Linked DNA regions of Elephas maximus indicus. The protein of the gene in region 2 interacts with the protein of the main gene of each other region in a biochemical or structural test. Links are inferred from orthologs where the notes say so. Each region holds a gene or a part of one and is shown on either strand. Other genes may lie near its edges.

What was found.
Region 1: the proteins of RNF4 (region 2) and UBE2W form a complex in vitro, tested with the Homo sapiens proteins (2 studies listed by BioGRID). The link is inferred for Elephas maximus indicus from reciprocal best matches to the Homo sapiens genes RNF4 and UBE2W.

What each region holds. Positions count from the first base shown.
Region 1 is NC_064833.1:68,158,690-68,175,237, forward strand, and holds the start of UBE2W (ubiquitin-conjugating enzyme E2 W), read left to right. Parts: upstream 1-10,350; 5' UTR 10,351-10,371; coding exon 10,372-10,473; intron 10,474-16,548. UniProt on the Homo sapiens protein: Accepts ubiquitin from the E1 complex and catalyzes its covalent attachment to other proteins.
Region 2 is NC_064823.1:161,333,253-161,349,028, reverse strand, and holds the start of RNF4 (E3 ubiquitin-protein ligase RNF4), read right to left. Parts: upstream 7,764-15,776; 5' UTR 7,654-7,763; intron 1-7,653. Other genes in the region: CFAP99 (cilia- and flagella-associated protein 99), read right to left, coding at 14,007-14,111, 14,892-15,048. UniProt on the Homo sapiens protein: E3 ubiquitin-protein ligase which binds polysumoylated chains covalently attached to proteins and mediates 'Lys-6'-, 'Lys-11'-, 'Lys-48'- and 'Lys-63'-linked polyubiquitination of those substrates and their subsequent targeting to the proteasome for degradation.

The DNA.
Region 1 (16,548 bases), on a different chromosome or scaffold from region 2:
TCAACTCCACGGCAATGGGGTTAAGCATATAAAACACTTCCAAACCATGCAATGTTTTCACGAGTGTCACAAAGTAATGCTTGTGTTTGTTATTATGAATCACTGTGTTTTACTCAAAATTTTAATAGAATAGGCTTTATGGCAGTCCATTCTTAAGTATGAGTTGTCCGTAAGTCAGACATTTATAACCCAGGGGCTGTCTGTACTTTATTTTTAAAACCTCATTGATATAGTTCCTTAGGAAAATGGATTTGGAAAGACAATATTGTGTGTTGGTTAAAGAATTCAATCTTTGGAGTGAAAGAGTTAGCGAATTCATAAGGTATAATTTTGACTCTGCTCTTCATAAGCTGGGTGACTCTGGCAAATGACTTAGCTTCTCTGAGCCTAAATTTCCTTACTTGTAAAATGGGAATAATTTTAAGTAATCCATAGCATTGTTTTAAACAATACCGGAAATAAAAAGTGCCTCATGCAGTCCTGACGTGGCACATATATTCAATCAAATGTAGGTATTATCATTATTTTCATTGATAAGGGCAAGTCTGTGAAGATGCCACACTTGGGGAAGGTAGGGAAGCCACAGGGCCATCTTTGAATTGTGTAGGGTTGGGAGAAGCAACATCCTAATCTTGAATTTTGTCTATGAAAATCTCAGTTCAGAGCAGAGTGACTTCCCAGACTCACTAGTGGTATGAAATTTGGGGATCTTGGCAGGGCTATTTCTCAGTCTCTGCCCTGTGGCCTACTCCTTATCTCTGGCTAACATCTATTCTGCCTGCTGGACAGAAAACAGAGTGAGGAGAAAGAAAAACTAGATATTACCTTTGATTAGTGTGGTGCTGTGTACAGTTCACGGAGCTCCTTCACACCCGTGATTACATTTAGATCCCACCACAAACCATGTGTTAGGATTTTTATCGCTGTAAAACTAAGGTTCAGAGAGGCTTGAAGGACAGCTTTGGGTTACAGAACTAACAAGAAGCTGAGTTAGGATTCCAACCTAATATGTTGTTAGTTGCTGCTGTCCAGTCAATTCTGACTCATCGTGACCCCATGTATGCAGAGCAGAACTGGGTTTTTAAGACTGTGGCCTTTTGGAAGCAGATCACTAAGCCTATCCTCTGACGTGTCAGTCTTTTCAGTTAGTAGTCAAGCGCTTAACTGTTTGTGCCACCCAGGGACTCCTAGGATTCCAACCTAGGTCTTATGACTCAAAGGTGAGTGCGTTTTCTGATGCATGACAAGTGGAGATCAGGGGGAAAAAAGGCACAAACAAGGGTGGGAAAACTAGGCAGCAGGTAAGGTCGTAGGTTGAGAAAGAGAAATGTCTGGCAAGGATAAAATCAGTAGGGCTGCCATCCCTCCTAAGGAACAGAGGAAAGATGAATATGTGTTTTAAAAGTGAAGGCCTGTGAGCAGGTGAAAAGAGGGACGATGAATTGTAATTACACAATTACAGAATTTTTTGACAAAGAGGATAATTTTCTGGAAAGTTTTCAAGAAATCATCAACTCTCTGTTTTATAGATGAGGAAATCCAGACCTAGGGAGATGAGTGACCAGCCTTCCATCTCATAACCATTAATAGCCATATTAATGGTATGGCTGTGTTAAAATATTGCAATGCCTCTCTTTCCTTTTTTAAACTGCTTTTTTTTTTTTTTCGTAATGTATAATCTACATTCCATAAAATTCACCCACAGTAAGTGTTGTCGATAGCTGCTGTGGAGTTGGCCCTGGACTCATGGTAACTCCACTCACAATGGGATTGGACCGTCGTGATCCCTAGGGTTTTCATTAGCAGATTTTTTGGAAGTAGATCATCAGGCCTTTCTTCTCAGTCTGTCCTAGTCTGGAGGTTTAGCTGAAACCTGTTCAGCACCATAGCAATGTGTACGCTGGTAGTGACAGATAGGAGGTGGCTGCTAATGAGGTGCATTGGTCAGGAACCGAACCTCAGTCTCCCACATGGAAGGTGAGAATTCTACCACCAAATCACCAGTCTCCCCCATTTTAAGTGTATGGTTCCAGAACTTTTAGTTAATTCATAGAGTTGGGCAAGCATCACCACAATCTAGCTTTGGAACATTTCCTTTACCCCCCAAAAGAAAACATTGCAATACTTCTATCCCGTGATCCCACTGCCATTGAGTCAATTTTGACTCATAGCAACCCTAGAGGACAGAGTAGAACTGCCCCATAGGTTTCCAAGGAGCCCCTGGTAGATTTGAATTGCCAACCTTTTGGTTAGCAGTGTAGCTTTAACCACTACGCCACCAGGGTCAGTTAGTAAATAGCCGCTGCCCTCAAACTCCCTGAAGAACCCTACTTCCATGGCTCCTAGACCTTCCCCATAATCTAGCAAAAGATACCTGACCCACTCTCAGGGAGCCACCGGCCCCTGCCCCAGAAGTGAGCATCCTCTGTTCTGAATGGTTGGTACCTGTATCACACCTGTTGTTAAGTATGTTTAGTACCACCTTTGGGCAAGGCCAAGGCAAATACCCACCTCTTCTGGTTCCCAATCCAATTTTCACACAGCAGCCTGCTTCTCTGGAAGACCAGAAAACAAACAAGCAAACAAAAAGAAAGTGAGTGCTATGAAATTATTTTGTCTACGTAAAAGACAAATTTTGGTAGGGCAAGAGATTGAGCTGGCATCCATCATCAGTTCTTCGGTAAAGATGTTCTTTTCTTGAGGTTCACAAACCTCTATGGATAGATGACTTCAGAAGGCCAGATAACTCCCTAAAATATAAAATTTCATGAGTATGTGCATTTTGCTGGGTAGTGGGTCCACGGCTTTCATTTGATTTTTAAAGGGGCCCACGGCAAAAAAAAAAAAAAAAAATTACAGCCTTTCCAATTAATAATATGCTAAGAACATGGTTAAGTGCTTTGCTGCTAATTCAAAGGTTGGCAGTTCAAACCCGCTAACCACTCCATGGGAGAAAAGACCTGGCCATCTGCTCCCTTAAAGATTACAGCCTAGGAAACCCTATGGGGCAGTTGTACTCTGTCCTATAGGGTTGAAATTGATTCGCCAGTACCTAAAAACAACATGTTTTGTAAGAGGTCTACGCGAGAAATAAGCAAGTAATGTGCTCAAAGGCTGCAGATCTGGGTAAAAGAATTCTTCCTAGAGAGCCAGGGGAACGGGTGAAAGTGAAGACAAAGTTCTTCTCATTCACTACTTTATTGCAAATTAGGTATGTATGTAAATCAACTATTTTTAACATATAGAATAAGTCACACCTACAAACCATTTGTTATTTTCTTTGGCCTTTATTAAGAGGTTCACATGAAATGACTGGTGCTGGTACAAAATTATTTTTAAAAAATACACTTATGCTTTGTACATATGCTTTTCTTAAAGTACAGTATTACTCTAAGTTGTGAATTTTGTGTTTTTGCTACTTTATGAAATCCCATCTATAGGCTCAACTGGATTACTTTAACATCTAAATTTGTCAAACTACATACCCCTCCAAGTAAACAAACAAACAAACAAAAACCAAACCTGTTGTGTCAACTCCAATTTACAGCGACCCTATTAGACAGAGTAGAACTGCCCACAGGCTTTCCACGGAGCACCTGGTGGATTTGAACTGCTGACCTTTTGGTTAGCAGCTGAACTCTTAACCACTACACCACCAGGGTTCCCCCCTTTGAATAGTTCTACATAATTTACATTGAAGCCAAGTTCCTTATTGTATTTACAAAAACAATTTTTTAAAAAACTCAAAATCCTACATTATCCCCATTGCATTTTATCTTAGACTTTTAGCATGGTATTTTAGAAATATTTTTGAATTTTTAAAAATGTTTTATTGTTTTAGGTGAAAGTTTACATAGCAAATTAGTTTCCCATTTAACATTTTTCACAAATCGTTCTGACATTTTGTGTGACATTTCTGTGATAATTTTCACAATGTGTCAGCTTTCTCATTATTTCCATTCTGTTTGTTCTGTTTCCAGTAATCTAGCTTCCCTTCCCCTCTTTGCTTTTGGGTAATTGTTGTCTGGTCTTATATCGGTGATTATTTAAGGGACACATTTCTCCAGGGTAATATTATTTTATAAGCCAATGTATTATTTGGCTCAAATGGGCCTACAGGACTGGTTTCAGTGACAAGCTCAAAGTGTGCCTTAAGGCAATAGCCCTGGGGGTTCCTCAAGTCTCTACCAGTCCAATAGGCCTGGCCATTTTTTACGAATTTGAGTTTTGTTCTATGTTTTTCTCCCATTCTATCTGGGACCATCTATTGTGTCCTTAGTCAGAACGTTTAGTAACGGTAGCCACGCACAATCTAGATCTTCTGGTCTCAGGTTAGATGAGGCCATGGTTTGTGTGGGAAATAATTTTGATTTTTTTTTTTTCTGGTAAAAATCTTTTATTTATTTATTGTTGCTGTTGAGGATATACACAGCAAAAACATACATCAGTTCAAGTTTCTATATGTACAATTCAGTAACATTGATTATATTCTTCAAGTTGCGCAACCATTCTCACCCTCCTTCTCTAAGTTGTTCCTCCCCCATTTACACTCACTGCCCCCTAAGTTTCCTATCTAATCTTTCAAGTTGCTGCTGTCAATTTGATCTCATACAGATAGATCTTAAAATAGCACAATGCTTAAGGCAGACATTTTTACTAGCTAAGCTAAATTATTGTTTGGTTTTAAGAAGAATTCAGGGGATATTTTTGGTTTATGGTTTACAGGTTATCTCAGGGCAACATTTTCAGGGGTTCGTCCACCCTCCATGGCTCCAGAGAGTCTAGAGTTGATGAGAATATGAAATTCTGTTCTGCATTTACCCCCTTTTGGTCAGGATCCTTCTACAGAATGTTTGATCAAAATGTTCAGTAATGGTAACCAGCACCATCCAGTTCTTCTGATCTCACAGCAAAAGAAGCAGTTGTTCATGGAGGCTATTAGCCACATACCCCATTTCTTCCTCCCACTCCTGACTCTTGTCCTTACTCTGTTGCTCCAGGTGAATAGAGACTAATTGTTGTGACTTGGATGGTGGCTTGCAAACTTTTACGACCCTAGGCACTACGCAAGGAACTAGAAGGTAGAGTTGAAGCATTAGGCACATTATTAGGTCAATTAACTGGGATGTCCCATGAAACCATGACCTTAAACCTCCAAACCAAGGAACCAAATCCCAGGAGGTATTTGGTCATACACAAGCAGCCTCAGCAGCTACTCATAATTTTTGTTGTTGTTGTAAATATACAAACTTTGATTATTTTTAATAGGTGAATGGAATTTGAAATCTGGAAAAAAACCTTAAAGATTATGCAGTCTGACTTGCTGATTTTATTGATAAGGAAATAAACCCACAGAGATTAAGAGCCTTGCCCAAGCTTGCTAATGACAAAGCTTGGACAAGAACATAAGCCTTGGATTTCTAGTTTGGTGCCTGTTCCAACAAATATGCTGTGTGCTGTTGAACTGCCTTCATTTCTCTGGTGAGGTCAACCATGAAGAGACTAAGAACCAACTACTCTGTGGAGACACAAGCTCAAGCAAGGACTTGTCAACTTTGCCTTTTCATGCTCCAACAAGCATATCCTCACTGGACTGCTCCTGACTGTGCAGCCTAGTGAATCATAGGAATTCAAGCATTCATAAACTACATTACATCATCAGTACTGCAGCATTTACCTAGTGGTCCCTTTGTAGGTCCTTTAATGTTACCAGACTATTTGGTTTCCCATATTTCCTCCTCTTTGGTGCCACGGAGTCTAGCTGCTAATGTATTCCTCTGTGTCTCATGCTCTGCCTTTACCCAGGAGGGAAGACCGCAGACACGTACACAACCTGTATATGTCCTAATTTTTTTCTTCTAGGGAGGCAGAGGTGAGGGCAGTGTGGCAGATGGGGGATGTCTTAGTTCTAGTGCAGCTATAACAGAAATACCACAAGTGGACAGCTTTAACAAAGAAAATTTTATTCTCTCACAGTTTAGGAGGCTAGAAGTCCACATTCAGGGTGCCAGCTTCAGGGGAAGTCTTTCTTTTCTGTCAGCTCTGAGGGAAGGTCCTTGTTATCAATCTTTCCCTCATCTAGGAACTTCTCAGCACAGGGACCAGATCCAAAGGACATGTTCTGCTCCTGGCTCTGCTTTCCTGGTGGTAGGAGGTCCCTGTCTTTCTGCTCCTGTCTCTCTTTCATATCTCAAAAGAGGCTGACTCAAGATAGAACCTAATCTTGTAGATTAAGTCCTGATTCATTAACAAAACTGCCTCTAATCCTCCCTCATTAACATCGTAATGGTAGGATTTACAACACACAGGAAAATCATATCAATTGACAAAATGGTAGACAATCACACAATACTGGGAATCATGGCCTAGGCAAATTGACAGACATTTTTGGGGGGCAAGATTCAATCTATAACAGGGGAAAATCACCTCCTTGTCACCTGATGGTCATTTCAAATTGCTGTGGAAATAAAAAATAAACACCATTATCAAATGTAACAAAAATAAAAATTCTTTAATATCATCTAATATCTATTCTGTGTTTATATTTTGCCAGTTCCCAAAAATGTCTTTTTACAGTTGGTTTGTTAGAATCGGGATTCAAACAAAATTGACATATTGTGTTTGCTTAATATGTCTTTTAAATATCTTTTACCATAAATGATGCTATTTAGGAGATTGAGAGCGTGGGAAACTTCAACTTCTCTACTGCCGAACTGTTTTCCAAAGTAATTGTACCAATTTCACTCTGAGTTTATAAAAGCTTCACTCCCTCTCCTACTTTTGGTATCATCAGGCATTTAAACTTTTGCCTATCAGACATTTAAACTTTTGTAAGCCCCACTCTGTAAGGAAATGGAATGTGAACATAGTCTTCAAGAAATATATAATATAAAATAATACAGAAATTTCACACTGTAGTGCAGTGAGTTACTATTATATGCCCTTTTTAGCTGTTGTTCTTGTAACTCCCACAAAATGATTAGGTGAGATTATGCAAATAAGGTGCTTGTGGCCCACCAAGGGGATTGGACAGTTTTGAAACCTTTGTGGGGGTGGGACCATGCATATAGGGTGCATGGAACCCTTGTAGGAAATAGCTGGTTTTGCCATCCCACTAGGTTTAAAGGGAGCCAATCCCAGAGGCTGAGAGGGGGACCTCACTACCATCAAGAAAAGGAGCCAGGAGCAGAGTGCATTCTTCTGACCTAGGGTCCCTACACTGAGAACCTCCTAGGGCCAGGAGACAGAGAGAGTTCTAACACTGAAGACTGCACGAGAGAGACCAGTACCACAGGACTGGCAGGCTAGGCTTGCTGATGCACAGAGAAAAGAGAGGTAAGTGCCTTTAGGCAGGTGGTTGCCGGGGGAGTGGGTGCCTGTGGGCACTTGTTGGCAGAGCTAAAGACCTTTGTTATACTTGCCCGTCCAAGTATAACAGGACAAGAAGGCCAAGAACTGAAGGGTGAGAGAGAAGCCTGCCTGTGAGCATGGCTGAGAAGAAGCTGTCCTGATTAATTGTCTTGTTAAGTCGTTCCTTTTACTACCAAGTTGATCCTGGCCCTGAATTGTAAACTGTTATTCCCTGATAAATTCTATAATTGTGAATACGGTTTGTGAGTTCTATGTGGCCACTGCAATGAATTATCAAACCCAGTAGCAAAGTAGAGAGTGGCGTGGGAGGGATGGGATGGCTAGTGTCAGAACTGGTAAAAAGGTTGGAGAGTGGGAGTATGTGGGAATCAGCCTTGGGCTGATGTTGACAGTGATTTTCTGTCTCCCCCTGAAGTTAGTGAGGTCTGACGCTGTACCATTTCTGGACATGTTCCCTGGAGATAATTATATATCCCCATCCCATCTGAAAGTCACTGTTTTAGCTGCTCTATGCACTGGGATCTTTTTATTATACATTAGTGAAAGAGTAAAGACGATATGTAATTATGTGCTAGTTAGTATTTCCTAGGAGTCCCTGGGTGGCATTTACGGTTAAGCACTCGACTACTAAACAAAAGGTTGGTGGTTCAAAACCATCCAGAGGTGCCTCAGAAGAAAGGCCTACCCATCTACTTCCACAAGATTACAGCCATTGACAACCCTGTGGTTCTACTCTGACCCACACTGAGCTGCCACGAGTCAGAACTGATTCAACAGCAACCACTTTAAGAGGGATATAACTGGCACTGACTTTTCCCCTCATATGAATATCCTTCTAACACATCTGAAACTCAAGGTGCCAGATGTTGTTTCTGCTGAGAAGTGTCAGGATTCCTATAACCTCTTTTCTTCCTTGTTAATACTTGTTAGCTCTTATGATGTCATAATGCTTTGTTTGTAGGGTCATCTGATGTTATATATCTTTAGGAAGGAAGAGTTTTTAAACAAAGTGAACCGCATATAGTAAAACCTGATTTCTGGAGCAATTTTATGAAATAATAGGGAAGAAGATCTCTAAAAGGAAATATACTTGGAAACTTTTCCTATCAGCTTTCTTCTTTCATTGGGATATGTGTGATTTAACAACCTGACATGTGATGTGCTTCTGGATGTTTCCTGGTTGCCAGGAGCATCCAAACATTTCTAAGGACACATCATTTTGTACAATAAAGGGAAAACCAGCTCACTTCTGGCAATAAATGGAATTGGGTGCGGAAGTGTGTTTAATATTATACCATACAATAATTGGTGTATTTTTAAAAAATTTTTTATTGTGCTTTAAGTGAAAGTTTACAAATCAAGTCAGTCTCTCTCACAAAAACTTATATACACCTTGCTACATACTCCCATTGCTCTCCCCTTACTGAGACAGCCCGCTCCCTCACTCCACTTTCTCTTCATGACCATTTCGCCAGCTTCTAACCCCCTCTACCCTCTCATCTCCCCTCCAGGCAGGAGATGCCAACATAGTCTCAAGTGTCCACCTGATCCGAGAAGCTCACTCTTCACCAGCATTCCTCTCCAACCCGTTGTCCAGTTTAATCCCTGTCTGAAGAGTTGGCTTTGGGAACGGTTCCTGTCCTGGGCCAACAGAAGGTCTGGGGGCCATGGCCACTGGGGTCCTTCTAGTCTCAGTCAGACCATTAAGTCTGGTCTTTTGACAAGAATTTGATGTCTGCATCCTACTGCTCTCCTGCTCCCTCAGGGGTTCTCTGTTGTGTTCCCTGTCAGGGCAGTCATCGGTGGTAGGTGGGCACCATCTAGTTAATAATTGGTGTATTTTAAAGATCTTTTTCCTTTATGAACACATTTCACATTAGGGAAGTTCCCAGGAAACATAATGATCCATCTTAAGAGTGGGAAGGATGACATTCTACACTGCTTTTATATTTAAATCTTAACTTACTGAAATTTCTAAAAAGAAAGCCAAGTCAATTAAATGACAGGTTTTAAGCTTTCATTCTGGTAAAGTCAAAGTCTTCTACTCAATATATCAGCCAGCTCAGTTTTTTAGAGCAAGAACACGAGGTGCAAGGGCTTCCATTTTCCTCTTTAAAAAACCGTGATATTTTCAGTTCTGGAACAGCTCTCCAAAACGCTGCTTCTGGTAAATGTTGGCAGAATTGGTGCATTGCTTAAGTTAATTCTGTATGCTCAACCTTCCTTACCCAGTATCTCTAGGTTGGATGACCATAAAGCTGCCTACCCACAAAATAGACTGGAGAGAAGGCTGGACTTTATAGAATGTATTAAGTACTTATTATAACGAGATACCGGCACATTAAAAAAAAAAAATCATGCCTAGGGCTAAATCTCTGAGCAAACTTAGATTTCCGTAACAACCTTAACTATTTATTATACACATGAACTGAGGTTATGGGGTAAGGAAGTGGATATCACACACACTAGAAAAACTTCAAAAAAGTCTCTCTTTTTTTAGACAAGTTTCAGTTTTGCAAATCCAAAAAACTCTTAACTGTAAAACACCAAAACGTTGTCTGCTCTCAGTTCTCATCCCATTGTAGAAAGAAACCTGTGTCTCTCAAATTAGGAATACAAGAAGTCTTTCTGGTCGGCGAAGACCAGAAAGCAGCCCCGTGGTAAATTCTATCTGGCCCAAGGGTATTCGAAAGGAAAACCTCGAAACCGTACACCTGCGGCTGGAAAAATAAACCAAACAAAAAGTAACCCAAAGATAAGCACATCACCAGGATTTCGTAATATAAACCGACTACGTTGGCACGGTCGGTACCGGAACCACGCTTCCGGAGCTTCTCAAGCACTCAAGGCAAGGCGTGGGCTCGCCGCGGACGCACTAAAACGAGTTGTAATCACCGGTACCTACAGCGCTATTCACCGCACCCCGCCCCTCCCCCAGCGCGCCAGCCAATCCCCTTGCGCTCTCTCCTTCCCATCGGAGGCCCCTCCCCCGCGCCCTGGATGCTGAGCCCCCGCGGCGTGACGCGAGCACGGCAGCTCCGCCCCCTGCGTCTCTGGCCTCGCCGGCCTAGGGGGGATGGTTCCATCATGGCGTCAATGCAGGTGAGAGGAGTTTGCTGCAGCTGGGAGGGCGAGGGAACCGCCGCGAGGGTGCGATCATTCGGGCGGGAGCGCCGCCCGGGGCTCGGAGGTATTCGGGCGGCGTCGGGAGCAGTCCTAGCGGTCGGTCTTTGGCTAGTTTCAGGGCGTTGGGGAGGGGTGAGAGGCGGCCAGGGCAAGGACGGGTGGGGGGGTCTCGGTCGGTCGAAGCGGACACCAGCCGGCCGGGAAGTTGGGGGATAAAGAGGGGTTAGAGGAGGAAAGGTCGAAGTTTGGCCTTGGCTCCGCCACAGTGCTTTCGGAATCGCCTTCCCGCACACACAAACGGCCAGAGTCGGTCGCCGGCCAGCCCCAGGGATGCCTTTCTCTCCGCGGTCCCCGGCCGGCGGAAACAGCTGCTCTCGCCGTTGTCGCCGGGGCAGCAGCGGCGCTGAAGGGGCTGGGTGTGGAGAAACTGGAAAGACATTCCCTGAGAAGGCGGCTGGCTGCAGAAGGCGCTTCGCAGCCTCTGCTCAGGCCTCCCACGCCTGGCTTCTCTTGACTGCTCGGCACCTCCGCTGTCCTCCCTTTGACTCCTAATGCCCCTTGGGTACCTTCTCCTAGGAGTCACGGCACTCTCACAGACATTACCCGAGCCGCCCACTTTCTCACCCCAGCTCGAAGCTGCCCTTAGTCTATTAACAGCATTTGCCGCCTAATTTGCAATCTGCGGGAACCACTAGCCCCTTATGCCTCCCGGGATAGTTCACCCTCTAAGAAAATTTTTCCTCTGGTGCCCCACCCTTGCGGTCTCGGTAAGGCTGTCGCCCTTTACCCTTATTCTCCAGACCATTAGTAGAACCTTAGTTTATTAGGAGGAGTGCGTAACCTGTGTCCTAGCTACCTGACTTGTCAGTGCGTGGTTTTCTGGCTTTCCAACGCAGTTTAGAGAGGAGTTTGGTTTTTCAGGCAAAGATGGCAACCACAGTTGTGGTTTGTAGAGATTGACTCTGCATTATCTAATCTGTAGCTTGCGTTTAATTCACAGATGAAGACTAGCGTATCAAAACGTAGCAAGAGAAGGTAGAACTTATTAGGAATGTCAACTGAACGCTTTTTAGAGTTTTAAAAAAGCATCCCCTTAAGTGAAGAAAGAGACCGCATTTTTTCTTAGAAGGATTTTTTGTTTTTGTATCTAGAAGAAAAAGCAAGTACCCCCTCATTTTTCCCCCCTCTTCTGTGCGAGTGCAGTGTTTTTCTTACATCTCTTCTGCATCTTCTCTCTCTTGTGCACATCAGTTCTTTGTTCCACACTTTTGTGCTTTTGTCTTACCCCTTTCAATCTGTTTTTCATATGATAGTCTTGTTACCTTTGCTTTTCCCTATGGACTCTTGCAGAACAGAAAAAAATTGTATATAACATTTCTGGTTGAAAAGATGTGACGAAACAGTGGAGGGAGAAAACAAGAACAATTTCAGGAAACATTGTACTTTACACCAGTCTCCCTGAGAGACGTTAGAGAAGTTTCCTCATTTGAGGCCAAAAAAGGAACTGTTAAATTTAACAGTAGATGGGCTACGTGACCAATTTAAGGTTATTAGTGTATTAAGATTAAAACATTTGTTTTAAAACTAAAAATTAAAATCCACAACACTTGCATGATTGTATTTGACAAGTGAGCATAGCGTTACAGGGATGGTAACTGACAGTTAGCTTTTCAGTTATCTGGAAAAGGGATGTTTCAGTTGTTAAGAGAAAAAACCCAAGCTGGTAAAGAACTTAATAATCTTGAATTTTACATGGCTTCTTAAGCAGTAAGAAGCCCTGTTGGTGCAGTGGTTAAGCATTTGGCTACTAACTGAAAGGTCAGTGGTTCAAATCTACCAGCCTCTCCACAGGAGAAAGATGTGGCTGTCTGCTTCCAGAAAGATTACAGCCTTGGAAACCCTATGGGACAGTTCTACCCTATCCTATAGGGTCACTATGAGTCAGAATTGACTCAGAGCAATGGGTTTGATTTGGGGTTTTTTGTTTTGTTTTTGTTTTTTTTGTACTTTAACAATGGACAAAAATACTTGCCAGTGCAATATTGCATTTTTCTATGTCACAAGTACTACCTCAGTCTGTCTTACCACTTTTCTTTTCCTTTGTGTCTTGGTGATTAGAGGAATGGAAAATTCATACATCCTTTTTTAAGTAAAATACAACTAAATCTTTCCCTTTTGTTTGTATTTTTAAAATATACGGATTTTCTGGTAGAATCTTAAAAAATACTTTAATGTGGATAGGTCACACTTTTTGAGACAATACTGTCTGCGTGTGGGGTGAACAAAGTTTTTTTTCCCTGATAGTCTTAATAGCAAAGTTTAACTCTTTCTAAAACAACTGAACTATACATAAAGCAATAACCAAATTATTAAATTTGTTCATTCATGGAACAATTGTTTTTTGAGGACCCAGTATGTATCACCAGCAGTCATCTAGATGCTGAGGATCCAGCAGTGAACAAAAGCAGACAAGGTCTCTGCCCTTGTAGATATAAGTCTAGTTGGGGGAGACAGACATTAAGAAAATATTTAAGTTAATCGTGTATTAAATTAGAAGGTAAAAAGTGCTGTGGAGAAAAATATAGAGTGGATGGAGGTTTGGAAGTAGATATTTTAGATAGGGTAATGAGGAAAAAGTATGCTGCTCTGACCATGTCCTCATCTAAAAAAGCTTTAAGTAGGTTATTTAACCCACACTAGGATGTTACTGCTGCTTAAGAAGTTATTCAAGCTGTAAGGGGAACTGTATTTTAAAAACAAGTATATTATATGAATGTAACGTGTGATTTGATTACTTGAATTGATAAAGACGAAAAAATGAGTCTTCAGGAGCAATGCACTAAAAATTAGGGATAGACTTCGCATTTCGCATTGGAGACAGTTTTAAAGGAGAGGTTGTGACTGCTTTAATGTATTCTACCAGTGCCTTCCAACTTTTCTTCAGGTCATGGCACACATAGAAAATAAGTTTTGATGAATGAGATTGGAGCCTGGAATCCCCCGGCCAGGCTCTATGCTGTCGAGTCGATTGCAGTTCGTAGAGACTGTATTGGACAGAGTAGAATTGCCCCATACTGTATCCAAAGTTTTAAATATTTACGGGAGCAGACCGCCACATCTTTCTCTCATGGAAAGATTGGTAGCTTTGAACCGCTGACCGTTTTGGGTAATGGCAGAACGCTTTAATCACTGTGCCACCAGTGCTTCTAGGATCCAGGGAAATCAATATTCTGGCACAACCTGTTATGTTGGGAAGTTCTGCTCTATATTATATTGTTAGGGTTGTAAGTACAGTTCAAGGTTGTGGTTTTCAAACGTATGTGAGCCTTTTGAGACTTTCCACTATTTTTTTCTTTTCTCTCCCCACTCCTTTATTCCTGTGAACAAAGTCACAAATCACCAAGTAAGATTATGGTTAGATTATGTTTTAAGAAATTATTCTTAAACACTCATGGTGATACTTAAAGTTGGCAGGATTTACACTAAAGAAATAGCTCTATATTTAATTTTAGTAATTCTAGAAATCTTAAAATGTTAAATGGAAAATTGTAGCATATTTTTAGTATTAGCATTTCAGGTACTCTGATTATATGGTACAGCTTTCCTATCCTCAAACTGTAAAAACATTAAAGTAAATTTTTATATGATTCTAAACAGTTCTCAAAATTGTAGCGTTTGGAGTATGTATTTTCAGCTAAACTATAAAATTGTATTTTTTTGTTATGTTTATATAAAAAACCAAACCCGTAGCCATCAAGTCGATTTTGACTCATAGCGACCGTATAGGACAGAGTAGAACTGCCCCATAGAGTTTCCAAGGAGCGCCTGGTGGATTCAAACTGCCAACCATTTGGTTCGCAGCCGTAGCACTTAAGTACTATGCCACCATACGTTTGCATAGATAATATTTAATTTTTTCTTTTTCCTGTGACTCGTTTCATATTGTGGAATACTTAATTTGGCCTCCTGGATGTATTTTCTGTTTCTAGAATTTAGTTGTTTCATTCAGACTTATATTACAAGTTTTTAGGTATACCCAGTATACTTTTCTAATTTAACCATCTAGATTAATTTTAAATATGGACTGTTGTCTTTAGACTCCTCTTCCATTGTTGCTTAGTTGTGATTGAGTTGATCCCTTACATAATGTCTTAAAATTTTAGAAAGTACATAATAGCTAGAAATAGCCAATTGAGTCACTTTTTTATGAATTTTCTACATTTTCTTTCTTTTAACCTAGCTGGATCTTAGGCTATTGACTGCTAATCTGGCTAGATGGAAGGAGATTAGGAACCAGAGAGGGAATATCAGTGTTGGCTCATTTCTTATTTTCAAACGACTTGAAAATAGTTATTTTGAATTATTTGCAATTTGCATTGCTCTTTACTCAAGTAATTGGCTGTAGTGATTAACAGGTAGAATATGTGCTCTTACTAATTCTACTGTTATGGTAGTCATGTTGCCTTGACGATTAGATACCATATGCCTATTTGTTGATATCATTGTGAAGGATTACAGCATAATGAAAAGTTAGAAAATTGACGCCATCTTGGATCTCAAGGCTTACTGACAATGGGGACTTGCACAGTATGGCCAGAATTAAAATATTTGAGAAGGTTGTTTTGATACTGTGGCTAGGAATAGGGCTATCTGGGAACTTTTGGAGCAGGGATCAAGGATAAGGATAATAGCATAGAATAGAATTCAGGATATTCTGTGTAAGTGATAAACATAAGTAGATGGTAGACCACATGTGAATAAAAGCATAAATCTTTGGTAGTCCTCTTAACTTTCAAAACAATCATTGTCCATACTTTTTGCTGTTAATCAAATACTGCTCTATGAGATCCCTTCCATTTTTGTCTTAAGGTGATTGCTTAGGATTTTATTTAAGTTTTCAGGTCTCTTTCTCTCCCCTGGACCATAGACTCCATGAAAGTAGGAAAAATCCTTTCCTTGTGTTACTTAAATGTGTACATAGTGACTACAGAAAACACTTGTCCATCACTTGACACTTGAGAAAACATTCATAAATAGCAAATTATGCATTATTTTATTTTAGAGAAATCTATTAAGTAATTTTATAGTACTAAGCAAATGATCCCCCCACGTTTCTGTCAGACATTGCTGATGTCAGATGGATCCTGGCTGAAAACAGAGAATACCAGAAGGGTGTTTACCTGTGTTTTATTGACTATGCAGAGGCATTCAACTGTCTGGATCATAACAAATTATGGGTAACATTGCGAAGAATGGGAATTCCAGAACACTTAATTGTGCTCCGAAACCATGGTGGCATAGTGGTTAAGTGCTACGGCTGCTAACCAAAGGGCTGTTTGAATCCGCGAGGCGCTCCTTGGAAGCTCTGTGGGGCAGTTCTACTCTGTCCTATAGGGTCACTATGAGTTGGAATCGACTCGACGGCACCGGGTTGGGTTTGTTTTTTTTTTTAGTTGTGCTCATGAGGAACCTTTACATAGATCAAGAGGCGGTTGTTCGGACAGAACAAGGGGATAGTGATTGGTTTAAAAACAGGAAAGTTGCGCATCAGGGTTTTGTTCTTTCACCATACCTATTCAGTCTGTATGCTGAGCAAATAATACGAGAAGCTGGACTATATGAAGAAGAACAGGGCGTCAGGATTGGAGGAAGACTCATTAACAACCTGCGTTATGCAGGTGACACAACGTTGATTGCTGAAAGTGAAGAGGACTTGAAGCATTTACGAATGAAGATCAAAGACCACAACCTTCAGTATGGATTGCACCTCAGCGTAAAGAAAACAAAAGACCTCACAACTGGACCAACGAGCAACATCATGATAAACAGAGAAAAGACTGAAGTTGCCAAGGATTTCATTTTACTTGGATCTACAATCAACAGCCATGGAAGCAGCAGTCAGGAAATCAAAAGACGCATTGCATTGGGTAAATCTGCTGCAAAGGACCTCTTTAAAGTGTTGAAGAGCGAAGATATCACCTTGAAGACTAAGGTGTGCCTGACCCAAGCCGTGGTATTTTCAATTGCATCATATGCATGTGAAAGCTGAAC
Region 2 (15,776 bases):
CACTTTTTTCTCCAGAGGGCCCCACTGAGGATCACTTTTTGCTTCTACTAGAGGAAAAAAAAACTAGCTGCTTGTGCACAGAGATGCTCTATTTTTGGATGGGACTCAGGCCATGAGAATTATGAACGAGCTTTTCCAAAATCTATGAAAAAATAAAAAGAAACTTCACCTAATAATACACTTCTCAGAGGCCTGCAGGAACACTGTAACTAGACAGGGTTTGGCCAGGTACCCAAAAATGTTCTACAGTGGGCACAGCCCCACAAACACCCTAGGGAAACTCTCCTGTAGCAGGAACCCTGAGCCTCCCCAAGCTCCACAGATCTCCAGGACACCACTCAGCACAGCCACAGCTGAACTTTGTGCCTCTTCTTCTCCAAGAATGCTAGGCTGATCCTTCTGTCAGGGAAACCTCTGGAGCCTGGGGGCGGGGGCACCCTAATTCTCTGAACAGCCACGTCTCATCAAGTAACTGACTTGGGGGATTTCCAGAACTGGGAGGGATACAGAAGACATCAATCCAATCTACTCACTTTGGCGGGTAGGAAACTGACTACCTGGTTTCTATAATTACTCCTTTGTAAAAAGGTTTCTCTGGGGCAGAATGGAAGCTCAATGGCTTCCCCATCTCCCTGACCCCTAACTTTTAATTTTATTTCAGCCAGGGTGGTCTACGGGCTGGTGATACAAGTCATCTCTACAGGGGCAAGAACAATGCAACGGAGGAAACCACGGAGATTGAAAGGCGGTGAACGGGGCCCTCAGAGCCATCAGTCACCTCCCACCCTTCCCCCTCATAGCCGGTCACTATGAAACACGAAGGAGCCAGGCATGCCAGTGTTAATGGTGCCAGAATGGAGTCTGCAGGACGCTGAGCTGCTTCTACTTAATCTAGACCACATCTTGAATGGGGTGGGGGTAGAAGGGTGTGGGGAGTCAACCTAGAAACACTAAATTGTCCATATCAGCCACTAAAAATAGCCTAAGGTGCAAGCCCTAGGGAAAAAAAAGCCGGAAGGTTACAGGTTCACTTGACCTATATCAACAGCCTACTGCCATTTCTAGAAGGGATTCTCTTATTACTTTAGGTCTTTGCGATTTAGAGGGCTTCTTCTTTAACATGAGGGAGGACTGGTGGCGCCATGGTTAAGTGCTCAGCTGCTAACTGAGAGGTTGGAGGTTCAAACTCACCAGGCGCTCCATGAGTGAAAGATGTCACGATCTGCTTCCTTAAAGATTACAGCCTTGGAAACACTATGTGGCAGTTCTACTCTGTCCTATAGGGTTGGTATTGGTCAGAATTGACTTCTAACAGCAGAGAGCAGCCAGGCAGTGCCTCACAGTGGTTAGTCCCTCATTCGCATACCAGCAGCAGGGGTATGGTGAGCTCAAATAGCACGGCTCCCAGGGCCCCTCACACAGCATTTCCTTCCTCCCTTAGGCAGTGCACTGTGGCTGGCTAGTGAACAGATGCATGCTGTCACCAGGGAGCTAGCCAAAACCAATTCTCTCAGGGAAATTCATCTTGGCAGTGGCACCTGACTACTGGGCCTGTGAGCTGGAGCAGCCCTACTCCAGGCCCTCTTCAACAGTCTACGTAGGCAATGAAATAAAAGAGAAAACCAAAGTCAGTGGTCCTTGCCCCCCAGGACAAACACAGCCACGAAGAACAGCAAGCACCTACTACACTAGGAATGGACAAAAGAAAGGCACAAGAACAGAAGGGAAAACATGAGTCTGTGTGATGGAGTCCAAAGGCTTCACAAGGTAGCTCAAAAAATCATCAGGCTCCAAAAGACCCAAGAATTTCGCAAACGCTCCTGAGTGATTACATCCAGTGGCTACAGAATCTGGTGTACACCCCTTCAGTTGAGTCCCTTATAACAGAGCCAGGCTTCCCTCTCAACTTTCTGGCCTCAGCTGCAGTTAGTCATGTTATAACGTGACACGTGCATTCTTAAAAACCACCGCGCTATGCAAAAACTCACAAGGCTTATGGGGAAAATGGATTACGGGCACAACACTTGAAAACTTTGTCCATGACACACACACAAAAGAGAAGAACCTAATGAAAATGGCAGTACTGTCCTACACGTACTAAGTGGTTAAGAACTACATACACACCACAATAAGGATGGCACTTCACCTGAAAAAGGCCTGAAGTTTGCCTGGGGAAGTGGAAGTGGGCCTTAGAAGGGCTGCAGCTTTTGAGTTATTGTAAAGCATGGAAAAGAAGCAGAAGATTGTAAACATCAGACCTGTGTTGGGCGTGGCTCATACCAGAAGTCTACCAGTGAGCTGGCAGATGTCTAAAGTGTATGTCTGGGTGGCTTGGTTCAGTTTTCTGTGTTCACTTACTGTTTTCCACAACAAAACTGTACACAAGCCAAGGCAAAACCCCCATGATGTTCATATTGTTCCCCAATGTGCCAATCCCATTTGGAACAAATTCATGTTTCCAAAAAAGCAGCAAAGGCAAGCTGCGTGCACTGTGCTCCAGGCATCCTGGCCGCCAGTCACCCACTGTGGGCTCTTTCACACTCTCACAGTTTGGTATTTTGGGCAACTCCTGCTCACCCTTCCAGACCTACCTCAAAGGTTACTTCCATTTTCCTCAGGACCCCAGGATCTGATTTCATCATTTCTTCTACTGCAGTCCCTCTTAACATGATAACCACCAGTTGCCATCAAGTCACTCCAACCCACGAAACCCCATGTGTGTCAGAACTGGGCTCCAAAGGGTTTTCAACAGCTGATTTTTACAAAAAATCAATTGCCAGGCTTTTCTTCCAGGTGCCTCTGGATGGACTCCAACCTCAACCTTTGGCTATTGTCTGAGTATTAGCCATCTGCATCGTCCAGGGACTCAATGATAAACATAATTCTAAAACTGAATACTTACTACGGTGTACACACCATAAACTGCTGGAGGAATGAACAAATCCATCCTGGAAGAAGTACAGCCAGAATGTTCCTTAGAAATGAGGCTGCCAAGACTATGTCTCACTTACTTTGGACATGTTATCAGGAAGGCCCAGTCCTTGGAGAAGAATATCAGAGACTGGAGAAGAACATGTTATCAGGACGGACCAGTCCCAGAAAAAGGACACGTTATCGAGAGGGACCAGTCTCTGGAGAAAAATTGGTAAAGTCAAGGGTCAAGAGAGGAAGACCCTCAATGAGATGGACTGACACAGTGTCTGCAATAATGGCCTCAAAAACACCCACTATTATAAGGATGGTACAGGACTGGGTAACACTTCATTCTGTTGTACATAAGACTGCTATGGGCCAAAACTGACTTGATGGCACCTAACAACAACATGTTTTTAAAAAAGTGTCCCCTCACACTATTTAGCACAAACATGCATGTTGAATAAACACAAATGTTTTTCTACTGAAATTAAATTAACTCATTAGATGACTGCTTCATTTTCTTGGAAGATACGGCAGTGTTTTTGAGAGAAAGGAAAAATGGAGCCTTAACACTGCAAGTCAAAAGATAGCCAAAGGGAGATTTCAGAGAGAACATTTTTACCCGAGGCGTTTTCACCTAGGAGGGAGTAGGAGGCCAGAACTAACTAACATGCAGACGGTGCTTAGAAAGGAAGCACCTTTCAGTAGGCCAGAGCGAGCAGCAGAGACTGGCAACAGTTAGGCTAGGTAAAAGGTAAGGTGCAGCCGCAGAGCACCTTCCTTGGTGAGGGCTGGAGGGTGCTCACTCAGGAACATAGCTGGATTCTTCAAGACTACAAAACAGTCACAAAATGGGAAGTTACCTGAGCGTATTTATGACCAGAACTCCCCATGGGTAAACGTTACTTAAAAAAGAAACATAAAATACGGATAATATTCCCTGCTTTTAAGTGTTTTTTTTTTTTTTCCTATTTGGAGCTGCTAGAGAAACTGGCCGTTTGCTTTCCCACCACAGAAAAAGGCGGATGGCACGACAAGGCCCGGGAGAGGCGTGGTCACTGGAGCCAGACAGGGGCCGAGATTCCAACGGGCAAACTGTGTGACCGTGGGCAAGTGACCCCGACCTTCCTGTGCCTCAGGACATGCAAAACGGAATAACCACGCCTACGTGGCAGGGTGACTCGTTAACAGATAAGCAGGCACTCGCTAAACAGTAGGTATCACTACATCACAAACCAAGAGAAACCCACAGGGACACAGGATTTATATTCTTAACAGCAGAAAAATTGTTATTGCAATTCCAAGCTAAAGAGATAACATTTAGCAGACAGGCTTCAATTTTGAATTTGCATATCAAATAAATCTATACAGCCAGCCAATTTACTTAGCTACCTGGAGGTAGAAGTTAACATAGCCTAACGGGTACACCAAAAAACATGTGGCTTAAAAAGAAGACTCCAGGAAAGCTTTATGGTCACACTTCCATTTGCAAAGCAACCTAATGATAGCAGCCATTTTGAAAAGTTCCCAAGTCCTTCCTACCCTCCATCCTGCCAGTTCTGACTTACGTACTTCCAAAGGCCATTCGAGATCCCTCTGCTCAAACCTCATGTTTTCTCAAACCTGAACCCTGACCTCAGGGTTAGGCAATATCTGTGCTCCAGGCCTTCCTCTTCAGACAGGAAACCTCAAAATGCCTTCCTCTACAATTCCGAGTACAGCTGAGAAACACAATACTTAGACGTGAATTATATCTCAACGGTAAAAACAGTCAACCCTGTAGTATTCTACAAGAGCCACCCTACCCTTCAGAGATTACTGATTTAAGGACAGTTAACTGTAGGTAAACCATTTCAATAAAGACGGACACTGCCAACACACGTAATGAATCTACAAATTCACTTTTATACTGCGTATAAGCCAATTACTTACTGAGCAGCACCCTCAACTCTTTTCCAGAAACCAATGGGGGTATGAACTACTGGACGTGGGCTCTGCTCACAGCCTTTAAGAGCCAGTGATGAACTGGAATGACTGGCCAGCTGACAAGCACAGGCACCAAGTTCCACAGATTCAAACACACCCATTTCACTCCATTCCCACAGTCACTATCCTGGCGCTAACTATCCCTAGGCCACTAGTCCTACCCACCTTTCTAATCCATCCTTCTCACAGCATAGTGCTTTTTCTAAAATGTGATTCTAACTGTGTCACTTCCTTGTGCTTAAAACTTAGTTCAGTGGTTTTCCACTGGCCTTACAATAAATTCCAAACTCCTCAAAGTGGAGACACACCAAACACCGCTGGTCATCTGGTCCCTGTTTATTTTTCCAGTCCTATCTCTTGCTGCATGTCTCTCAGAACCATTTCCAAGAACAGACCTCAGAAGACCTCAAAAATGTGCTAACTTAGGATACTAAAGCAGGTAGATACGGACAAATATATACATACAGAAAAACATGAGAGCAAATGCACACGCGCACACAGATGTATCTGTAGACACATACACGTACATTTACGCACGTTTGTGGTTGACGCATATACGTATCTGCATATATAACAAACCACACAGGGGCAGTTTTCAGAGGCTTTCTAGACATATCCAAACAACTTGCAGGATTGGTTTACTGAGTTAAAAGACTTGGGACCACAGTCTCAGAACACAATCAACTGACATAACGTAATTCACAAAGATCATGATCCACATCCTAGTTTGGTGAGTAGCATCTGAGATCTTAAAAGCTTAACATCTAAAATATAACTATTGGTCTCTACCTATATAGAGCAAAAGAAAATGAAGAAAATCAAAGTCTCAAAGATGAAACTACTCCACTGGACTAAAAGCCCATGCAAACCAGCACCTCTTCTAACGTGAGACCAGAACTAGAACTAGATGGTGCCTGACTACCAATACCGACTGTTCTGACCAGGAACACAACAGAAGGTCGTGGATTGAATGGGATAAAAACGTAGAAAGCACAAATTCCTGAAAAAAAAAAAAAAAGGCCAGACCTACTGGACTGATAGAGACCAGAGAAATCCCCCCAGACTACTGCTCTAAGATACCGTTAGAACTTGTCACTGAAGCTATTTCTGCAATTCACCTTTCAGACAAATAATAGATCAGCTTGTAAAATAAACAATATCACTCATGAGGACTGTACTCCCTTAAACAACTACGTGAGACCGAACGGTCAACATCTACCCAAAATCAAAGATGAGAAGGCAAGAAGGGGGAGTGAAGCTGGATCAGTGGAAACAGAACAAACTGAACACCAGTAATGAGAATGCTGACAGTAAAAACTGTAACCATTAAAAAACAAAAAATAATCAAACCCGTTGCCATCAAGTCGATTCGACGAAGGGGTAATTCATTGCGTAAACTTTCACCTAGAACACGTTAGTTAAAAAAAAAAATTCATAGGGGAAAATAATTAGAGAAAAAAATACATCTACAAAGGTCCCTTAGAGAGCTGACGATAATAACAAATGAAAAAGGTCTAGAAAACATTATATTAAAGATTTTTGCATCAGAGTTGGACGCTCAAATTCAGGCAATACGAAAGCCAGCAATATATTTCCATTTGAACGTTCCCATTTTTACCTCAAACTCAGATAAAAGTGAGCCAAACAAGTCTCCCCTCCTCTTCCAAACCAAACCACGAGAAGAAATGATTCTCCCTTCGATACCCTTTGATCGCTGGCGGCCCCAGCACTCCTGGTCGTTCACCTCAGAAGCTTAGTTCTGCAGTCAGGAACCTGGCTGTGCACCCTTGGGCGGACCGCCTGACCTTTGTGGGCCTCAGTCTCCCGGATCGCCCCGGCAGCCTAGGCGCAAGGCAAGCCTGCAGAGCCGAGACCGCTGGACTAGATCCCACAACTGGGGGCAGAAGCAGGAGGTGTGATCGCCAACGTCGAGGGGCAGCTGGAGGGTGAGACAAAACCCGATATCCGCAAAAACGGCTCCGACTCTTCCTTTCCTCTTCAAAGGACCCACAGGCGGAGGAGGAGAGCTGTCTACCGAGCACGGTGTCTGGGGTCAGTCTGCCGACACCTGTGTGCAGGGGCGCAGAGCGCTGCAGGGGCGGGGGGCAGGCAGGCCTGGCCGCAGCCACCAGCGGGGTCGGCAGGCGCTCCCGGTGCCGAGGGCCCACTGGGTGCCGGGGCTCGAGCGGGGCGCTCCCAGGGCCAGGCCCCCAGCGCTCCCCGAGCGGCCGCCCACACGTCTTCCGCCCCGTTCATGCCCAGACAAGGCTTTCCCACGGGGCCCACGAGCCCAGACCCGCGGTGGCGCGAGCGCACAAAGGAGGCGCCGTCGGTGGGGAACAAAAACCCCGCGCGAGGCCTCCCCAAGCGGCCGCACAGCCCCGAGCCCTGGCCTGTCCTGCCCACACTCCCCGAGTGACCTTGGACGCGTCCGGAGCCCTCAGTTTCCCCCCCAAGTTAGAGACTAAGCCCCGCGGCGCCGCCCGCCGGGGGCGCCCAGACGCAGACCCAGGCCTCCCCACTTCCGCTGACGCGCCGGGCTCGGTCCGTCCGTGCGGCCGGCAGAGCGGGCGTCCACGTGGGCCCGAGATCGCGGGGAAAGGCCCGGCGTCGGGGCCCTGAGCCGGTCAGCGCCGCGCCGAGGCTACTCTGAGCCGCGGGCGCTGAGGCCTCATCAAGCCGCGAGGCGGCGAGCCCCGAATCCTCCCGGACGCTGACTTGCCGCTCCCTCCCCACGCCGCAGGGCCTTACCTGGAGCGGGTTTAGTCCGGCCCTCCGCCGGCAGCGCGACCAGACGGAGAAACCCTTCCACAGCGTCCGCGGAGCACTCCTCCAGCCAGACGCCGCCGCCTACCAGCGGTCCACTTCCGCTCTAGAGGCCGTGGCACCGCCCCCCTCGCGTCCCTATTGGCAGTCACCGCCCCTAGCCCTCGGCCCGTCGGGTCAGTGGGGATATTTTCAATGCTATTGGATAAAAGAGCCATCTATTACCACTTTGAAACGCGCCTCCTTCCGGCCCCGCCCACGCTCGCGTGCTCCAGCTCCCGCCTTCCGGGCAGAGCCGCCCTCTCGACCCCGGCCCGCCGCAAGGCCTCTCGGGAGTTGTGGTCTGCGGCCAGGCGGAGCGCTGAAACCGCGGCTCCCGGCGGTGCCGACCCGACTCGAGGTCTCCGGAGCCTGGAGGGCTCCGAGTGCCCGCCTGGGTGACAGCCCTAGACACCAGCCCCGTGCTCCTGGCCGGACGCGGCTGGACGTTAGCCCAGGCCCGGCCGTTCCGCCGCCGGAATCCCGGCTCCGCCCCCGCCCCTCTCTGGGCCCCAGCTTCCTCGCCTGGGAACCGGGCCCCCAGGCTGGCGCGGCTCGGAGCCTGACCTTCCACCAGAAGCGGGGCCTGGACCTGCAGCCCGCTGCAGGGGTCTTGGAAGGGGTCCCGGGAGAAGGTGACTCTGGAGCTGAGAGCTGATGGGCTGGAAGGAGAGGGTTCCAGAAGAGGGAGCCCTGTGTCCCTGAAGCTGGAGTGAGGGAGGGAAGGAGGAGAGGTTGACTGGCAAATGCAGGGACGGAAGGCTTCGCAGCGCCCGACGCCCAGAGATGGGGAGCAGCTGGGGGGGGGAGGCAGAGTCAGGTCTGACAGGGCCAGGGGCCAGGTTAACAGTGGACTATCGCTAGGCCCGCGGGTGTAGGTGCTCTGGGTAGAAACATGACAAAGTGCAGTAAAACAAAAAGAAAGGTTTTATCCGGCATATATTCAAAGACGCAAAAGTAGGAATCGGACAAGGATGCTGCCAGAGGTAATGTCTGCCTGAGTCCAAAGAAATATTACAGAATAAGCAAGAATGGGAAAATGGACAAGCATGCTGCTAGAGCCGTATCTGCCCGAGTCCAACGATATAGTACAGAATAGGAAAGAATGGCTGCTAGAGCCAAGTCTGTCAGAGTCCAAGGAATGTTTCAGAACCATCAGTATACATTAACGTTACAAATGGGCAAAACTGTTGAAAGTTTCACCTTTTCACAGGCTGGCTAGAAAATGTGATCATATGTTTTGAATAGTCTTTCTTAATAATCATTGGTACAGGTTTCAGTAACAACAGTCTGGAGGGTCTTTACTATTCTGACAAATCTTACTATTCACTAAATGCTAATAGAACAAGATAAGAGTGGAAACTATGTGGGTCTTTTATGCTCCATTTATGATTTGTTTATGTGAAAATTTCCCTGAAAGGTGTTTTCCAAGATTGTCCTAGCTATTGTTTTTATACCTCAGGGTCCTTGTGACTCCAGCTCCAGCTGGGTCACATTCTAGGATGGAATAATGGCTCTAATATTATCTCCTAAATCATGGGGAAAGGAGGACCTGAACCTGTGCAGGAACACCTCTGCCTGAGCTGTCCCCTGGGAGAGGGGCCATGGCCGAGGCCAGCCTGGTGGCAGAAGCCTGGAGCTCAGTGGCCTCTGGGATATCTTGGGCAACTCTAGGGTTCAAAAGGTCGCAAACTGAACCCCTCCTGCCTGAATTGGAATCCCAGCTCCATCCTTTAAGCAAGTCTCAACAATGCCCTCACCTGTTATAGGGGGACAATATCCACCTCAGAGGGGTAATGTGGGGCAGATTCAATGCAGCATTGCACACGTGCATGCTAGCCCCCTGGCTGGTAAGGGCTGCAGACCAGAATTGGACTAGTAAATCGGGTGGTGGGCTTGAGTCTAGGCACCAGGTTTGGACTTGAACGTGGCATGGCAACCAGAAAAGAGAGCCCAGCTTGTCCTCTTGTCCTGAGAATACTCAGGCCATGGCTATCATCTCTGGTCCCTAGGCGCCCTCTGGCAGTGAGAAGGTCACCCCAAATGCCCTGGGATGGACTCCTTCCTTGGGGGGAAGGTCTTTAATCCTGGAAGGTTGAGCTATGCGTGGCAACGACAAAGCAGATCTGGAACCGCTTACCCATTGCCGACAAGTTGATTCTGACTCAGTGATCCTATAGGACAGAGTAGAACTGCCCCATAGGGCTCCCTAGGCTGTAATCTTTATGGAAACAGACTGCCACATCATTCTCCCTCGGAGAGGCTGCTGGGTTTGAACCGCCAACCTTTTGGTTAGCCACCAGGGCCCCTTATGAAAAACAGAGCATTAGTATTTTTGAGTTACCCGTCAACAATCTGTGTGTTGATACTTTATGAGGTAGTAAGGGAACTTGGCATGTTGGAATGTCTGACATAAATGTGATCCAATGTAGATTATGTGGTTGAGTATCTGATAGTGATTTTAGGTTGAAAAAATAAAAGCTTTTTCCAATGTTTGTGATCGTAATTGGAATGTTTAAGAGAACTTGTAAATTTAAGAGAGATATATACATATAATACATCTATTAAAATTATTTAAACACTTGGGAAGTCAAACAACTGGAATGTTAAAATCAGATTTTACATTTATAAATGCAGTTTAAAATGCTTAAGGGAATTTCAGTTTATAAATGGGCCCGTCAGTGATTAATCAAAATGATAGTTAAAAACAATCAGACTTATAAATAGAATAAGATTCGTAATTTGAATTTCAAAGCTTAAGAAAAAGCTAGGATTTTCTCTTTATAATTTTAATATATTGAAAATGTGATGTTGAAAAACAGTCATTACAAATGTTACTCTCATGCCCAGAAGCTGCCTCCGTGGCCTCCCAAACCTCCCTTGACACTGAACCTACAGTGTGAGTATCCCTGGCTCCCTCCTCCTGCTAAATGTCCCCAGCTTAGAGGAAAGACTAGCCCCTTGGGATGCCCACAGTCCCTCTCATAGAAGCTGGTTCGAAGCAGATACTTGGGCTTCACCCTAGAGCTTGAATCTCTGTGGACGGAGCGTGAGAGTCTGCTTTTTTAACTCCAAGATAAGAACCCCTGCCTATCTGAGTTCAGACATTGTCAGCAGGGGTCTTCTGGCTAACTTGCACTTACCCAGAAAATTCACTTAAGCAGAATGTCAATTCTCTAGGCAGTCCAGCAAATAAAGGTTCAGAGAGAGCTTTCTCAGCACCAGCTAGACCTTATGCCCCCCTGGCTGATCCCCTTTCTAAGGGCTCATACAGGAAGTGGGGAGGCAGGCGTCTAGACTGTGGACCCCTTGAGGGTATATCAGTTAGCTATTGCTTTCGAACAAAATCACCCCAAAGCTCAGTGCTTCAAATAATAGATATTTATTGTTGCTCATGAGTCTACAAGTCAGCTGGATGGTTTTGGTTCCTGGCTGGGCTCACATGTTGGAGGTCAGCTGGTTGTAGGGTGGTCTAGGAAGGGCTCCCCTGGGACAACTCCTCCACATGGTCCCTCTCCTCAGCAAACCACTCTGGGCCTGCTCACATGGTAGCAGGGTGGGTTCCCAGAGAGCAAGTGGAAGTTCCAAGGCCACTTGGGGCCCAAGCTGAGAAATGGCACACAGCCACTTCTGCTGTACCCTGTTGGCCAAAGCAAGTCAGATTCAAGGGCTGGGAGAATCAGACTTCACGTGTTGGTGGGAGGAGGTGTCAAGTCATATGGCAAAGGCATGGGTACAAGGAGACATTTTTGACGTTTACCACATAAGGGCTGCCTTCAGGCCACATCCTCTAGAGAATGGCCCAAGGCCTGCTCTAACTCAGGTTTGTAGGAGCAGAGTACCTGGAAGAGTCCCCAGGTGCTGGCAAGCCAGCTCTGAGCAGCTGTCCAGGTTCAGGAGTGTGGTACGTAGTCAGGGACCTTGTTACCTGCCAGCCAGCGTCATTGCCAATATTGTTGGCGGCTGCCATCGAGTCAGTCCCAACTCACGGCTAGCCCACGCACAACAAAATGAAACGCTGCTCGGTAGCTGCCATCGAGTCAGTCCCAACTCACGGCTAGCCCACGCACAACAAAATGAAACGCTGCTCGGTCCTGCACTTTCTCCCTGACTGGTTGTGGACCACAGGGCTTTCACTGGCTGATTTTCAGAAATAGATCTTCAGGCCTTTCTTCATAGTCTGTCTTAGTCTTGAAGCTCCATTGAAACCTGTTCAACATCACAGCAACACACAAGCCTCTGCTGACAGACAAGTGCTGGCTCTGGATGAGGCACATTGGCCAGCCGGGAATCACACCAGGCCTCCACATGGAAGGTGAGAATTCTACACTGAACCACCACCCCCTTCATTATTATTGCCAACAGCACCCCGATTTTGCTTGGCCACCACCTACCCCCTCTGCTCCAGAGTCCAGCTTGATAGATGAAGGGTAATTCCCCCCACTTGCCAGGGTATTTGCTCAGACACCCACGCAGACTTTTCTTCCTCTGCAGGAACTGCTAGTTCCATGAACTACTGAATTGAAAGCCAGAGAGAGGTGTGTCACTTGCGACTGAAGCCCATTTGAACAGGCCTGAGTTCACTCAGAGCCCTGAGGGAGTCTCTCTGGATGGTAATCTTCAATGTATTTCCTCAATATTGAATGAAATTGATTTGAATTTTATTGCACAACACAGGATGTAAGAGATGTCATGTTTATTTATTTCAGTGAAATTTCGTCTGCTCCCAGCCCCGATTCAGCAGAAAGGTGGGAAATTCCTCTCCTTACTAGCCTGGGTTGTGGGGAAATCCTGGCGTTCTGACACAGCTCAGAATATTAATTAGGAGATGCCTCTGGTCTTTCGTCTCCTCTTGTCACTGCTGAAACGCCCACCTTCCTGGTCTGAATGTGCCCTAGGGGCCACCCTTTGGGTACACCACAGCTACCCCCTCTGACGTGCCATCACCTAAAGGCTTATGGAGGATATGGGGTGGGGGAGTCTCTCCGGGATGTCTATCCTCTCTGGGAGTTTCCAGCCCTTCCTTCCTTTCTTCCCCTTCTCCCCCGCCCCCTCCCCACCACGGGCCCATCCTGCTTTCTCCTTCCAGGGGTCCCACCACACACTGTGCTTCATTCTTGAGGCAGCATTTCCTCCTTGTGAATGCACTTCAAAGGCTTGTCCTCAAGGCCACGCCTAGGTGCTGGGGCTGGGGGTCCGGGAGAGTGAATCTGTCCTGGTCCCAGTCCTGGGGAGCTTGTGATCCAGCACCCTTAACCTTGTTGGATGCTGGCCCCTTGCTGATGCTGGGACAGCTGGGGGTGGGGTGCTCAAGTCGCCAAAGCTTAACTTTGTGTCCTGATTCTGGACTGGTCACCTTACCTCTCTGAGAACCGTGGCCTCAGCAGGATGGGGGACAGTTGCTAATCCCCAGGGTCACTGTGAGGGCTACAGGAGACGAGGCATGTGAAGGCTGGCCACTTCCAGTCTTGGGGGGGGTCCCCAGGTAAAGCCACCTGGCACTGGACAGGGATGGCAATTCCAAGCCGGTGCTGGAGATTCCAGGTTTGTGTATGCTGAGGGGGCTGTTAGGAGGTGGGGGCCGTGGTGGGGGCTGCCGGGGGCGGGGGCGGTGGAATGGGGCAACTTTGGGCTGGGACCCAGGGAAGGGCCAGGATCTGGGCAAGGATGGCAGACTTAACATATAAAAGTATAGGACGCCCAGTTAAATTCCAGATAAAAACCCGAAACTAATCTAGCTTGATATGTACCAAGCAACAGTGGCACGGCCTGCGCAGTACTCGACCTGCAACCCTTCACTGGGCACGTGCAGGCCCGGGCGGGGCGGGGTCACAGGCGGGGTGTGGCGGCGGGGGTGCGGGGGGACGCAGGGGCGTGTCGGCGTGACGGCGGGGCGAGGGGGCGTGGCGACGGGAGGGCGGGGCAACTGGGGGCGTGGCAGCGGGCCGGCAGGAAAATTGGCGGGGAGGGACCGGGAGCGCAGGGGGCGTGGCGGCGGGAGGGCGGGGCGCGCAGGGGGCGTGGCGGCGAGCGGGCAGGAAGATTGGCGGAGCGCAGGGGGGCGTGGCGCATGGTGGGCGTGGCAACTAGGGGGCGTGGCAGCGAGCGGGCGGGAAGATTGGCGGCGGGGTCACCGTGAGCGCAGGGGGCGTGGCGGAGGGAGGGCGGGGCGCGCAGGGGCGTGGCGGCGGGCGGACAAGGAGCGCAGAGGGAGCGCGCTGCGGCGGAGGGAAAGGAGGCACGCTAAGGGCCGCACACTTTATTCTGGGGAAGAGCAGGAGGCCGGTAGGGCGCCGGGGTCAGGCCGCCTCCAGGCGGCGCGCGGGGCCCTCCCGCTGCACGGCCCGCATCCTTCGCTCGCGGCTCCGCTCTAGCTCCAGCCAGTGCTGCGCCTCCAGCTGCGCCTGCGGAGGGTGGGCATCAGCGTGGGTCCCCAAGAACACGGTGCCCCCACCGGACACCGCTCCCCCCACCGCATACCGCGCCTCCCAGGGACACTGCGCCCTGTTGGACACCGCGTCCCCACCGGACACCGAATCCCCCCACGGACACCACGCCACGACCAGACATCGCGTCTCCACCACACATCACGGCCCGAACCCCCACGGACACAGCCGGGTCCCCCGAACGCTCACCACGTCCCCCATGCATACAGCCTGGACCCCCCCGGAGATCCCGCACCCACCGCCGCACCCCGCGCCCTGCTGGCATACCAACGAGTCTGCTCCCACGCCACCCTCCTCCCCTACGCACCCCTCCCGGGTCCCCACCGCGCTCCCCTCCCCAGTACACCGCCGGGCCCACCTACCGCTGCAGGAGCGGATTAACCAGTGAGCACCGGCTTACAGTAAGCATGATACCCACGGGCCGACTTGTGCTTAGTTACTAATTTCCGCACATAAACCCGGTGGAATTGTGCACTACGGATGAGTAAACACAAGTAAACACGTGCTACCTTGCACATTGGGTAATCCGTCCCGAGTCCCCACACTTTCCGCCCTCTCTCGCGTACCCCGCTGCCCACCTGGTACTCTGCACTCCTGCACCGGACACCGCTCCCCCCGCCGCACCCGGCTGGCCTCCCCACCCTGGCACCCCGCCTCCAGCACCCTGCCCGGCCCCCGAAATCTCCCGTGGGCCCCTTGCTCGCCGTTCCGCCCGCCCGCCGCGCCGCCCAGGCTCACCCGGGGCTTGGGGCGCGCGGCCCGCGGCGCCGACACGCGCAGCGCAGCCTCCTGTCTCTGGCGCTCGGCCGCCTTCTCTGCAATCTGGCGCCGCAGCTCCAGCACGCGCTCGTCCTGGGAGCCCTGGGCAGCTGCCGGGCCTTTCTTCTCCTCCCACCTGAGCCGGGCGACAGGGCGGACGGCCGAGGCCAGAGCCGGGTGGGACACGGGCCGCGGCGGCCGCCCAGGGGAAGCCCCTACTTGCGCTGCGACTAAGCCGGAAGGGTTTTGGCACAGAGGGCGAGGCCCCTAGGACAGCTGAGTGTTCCCGCCCAGGAGCCGGCGCCAGCCGTGCTGATCTTTGGTAGGGGCTGAGGTGGGGCCACGCCAGCGCCTCCACCTTTTTGTTCTTTTTACTAAGAATTTAAAAATAAGTATTACACGTGTATACATGTGTGTGATGTAAAAAACAAAGAAAACCTGTCATCTCACACACCCTTTGCCATTAGAGATAACCTCTGCTAATATTTGTGTGGCCCAGTGGTTACACTGCTCGGCGACTGGAAACTAACAGCCGCTCCGTGGGAGAAAGATCTGGCAGAGATTCACACCCTTGAAAACCGTATGGGGTCGCTATGACTTGGAATGGGCTTGAAGCAGTGGGTTTGGGTTTTTTGGTAATATTTTGGTATCTTTCCAAATCTTTTCCATACGTGGACCAGCTTTTTTTCTGAAACTCACCTGACATTCTCTGTTGACTCAAGGGCACATCACAGCCTAAGGCCTTTTCAAGTGCTGTTCCCTGTGCCTGCTTGCTCTTCAGCACCACCCCAGGACTGGGCAGCCTCCTGCCCCTAAACTGCTCCTTGTGAGTTAATGCCAGTGGGATCTGGCTGCAGGCAGGGA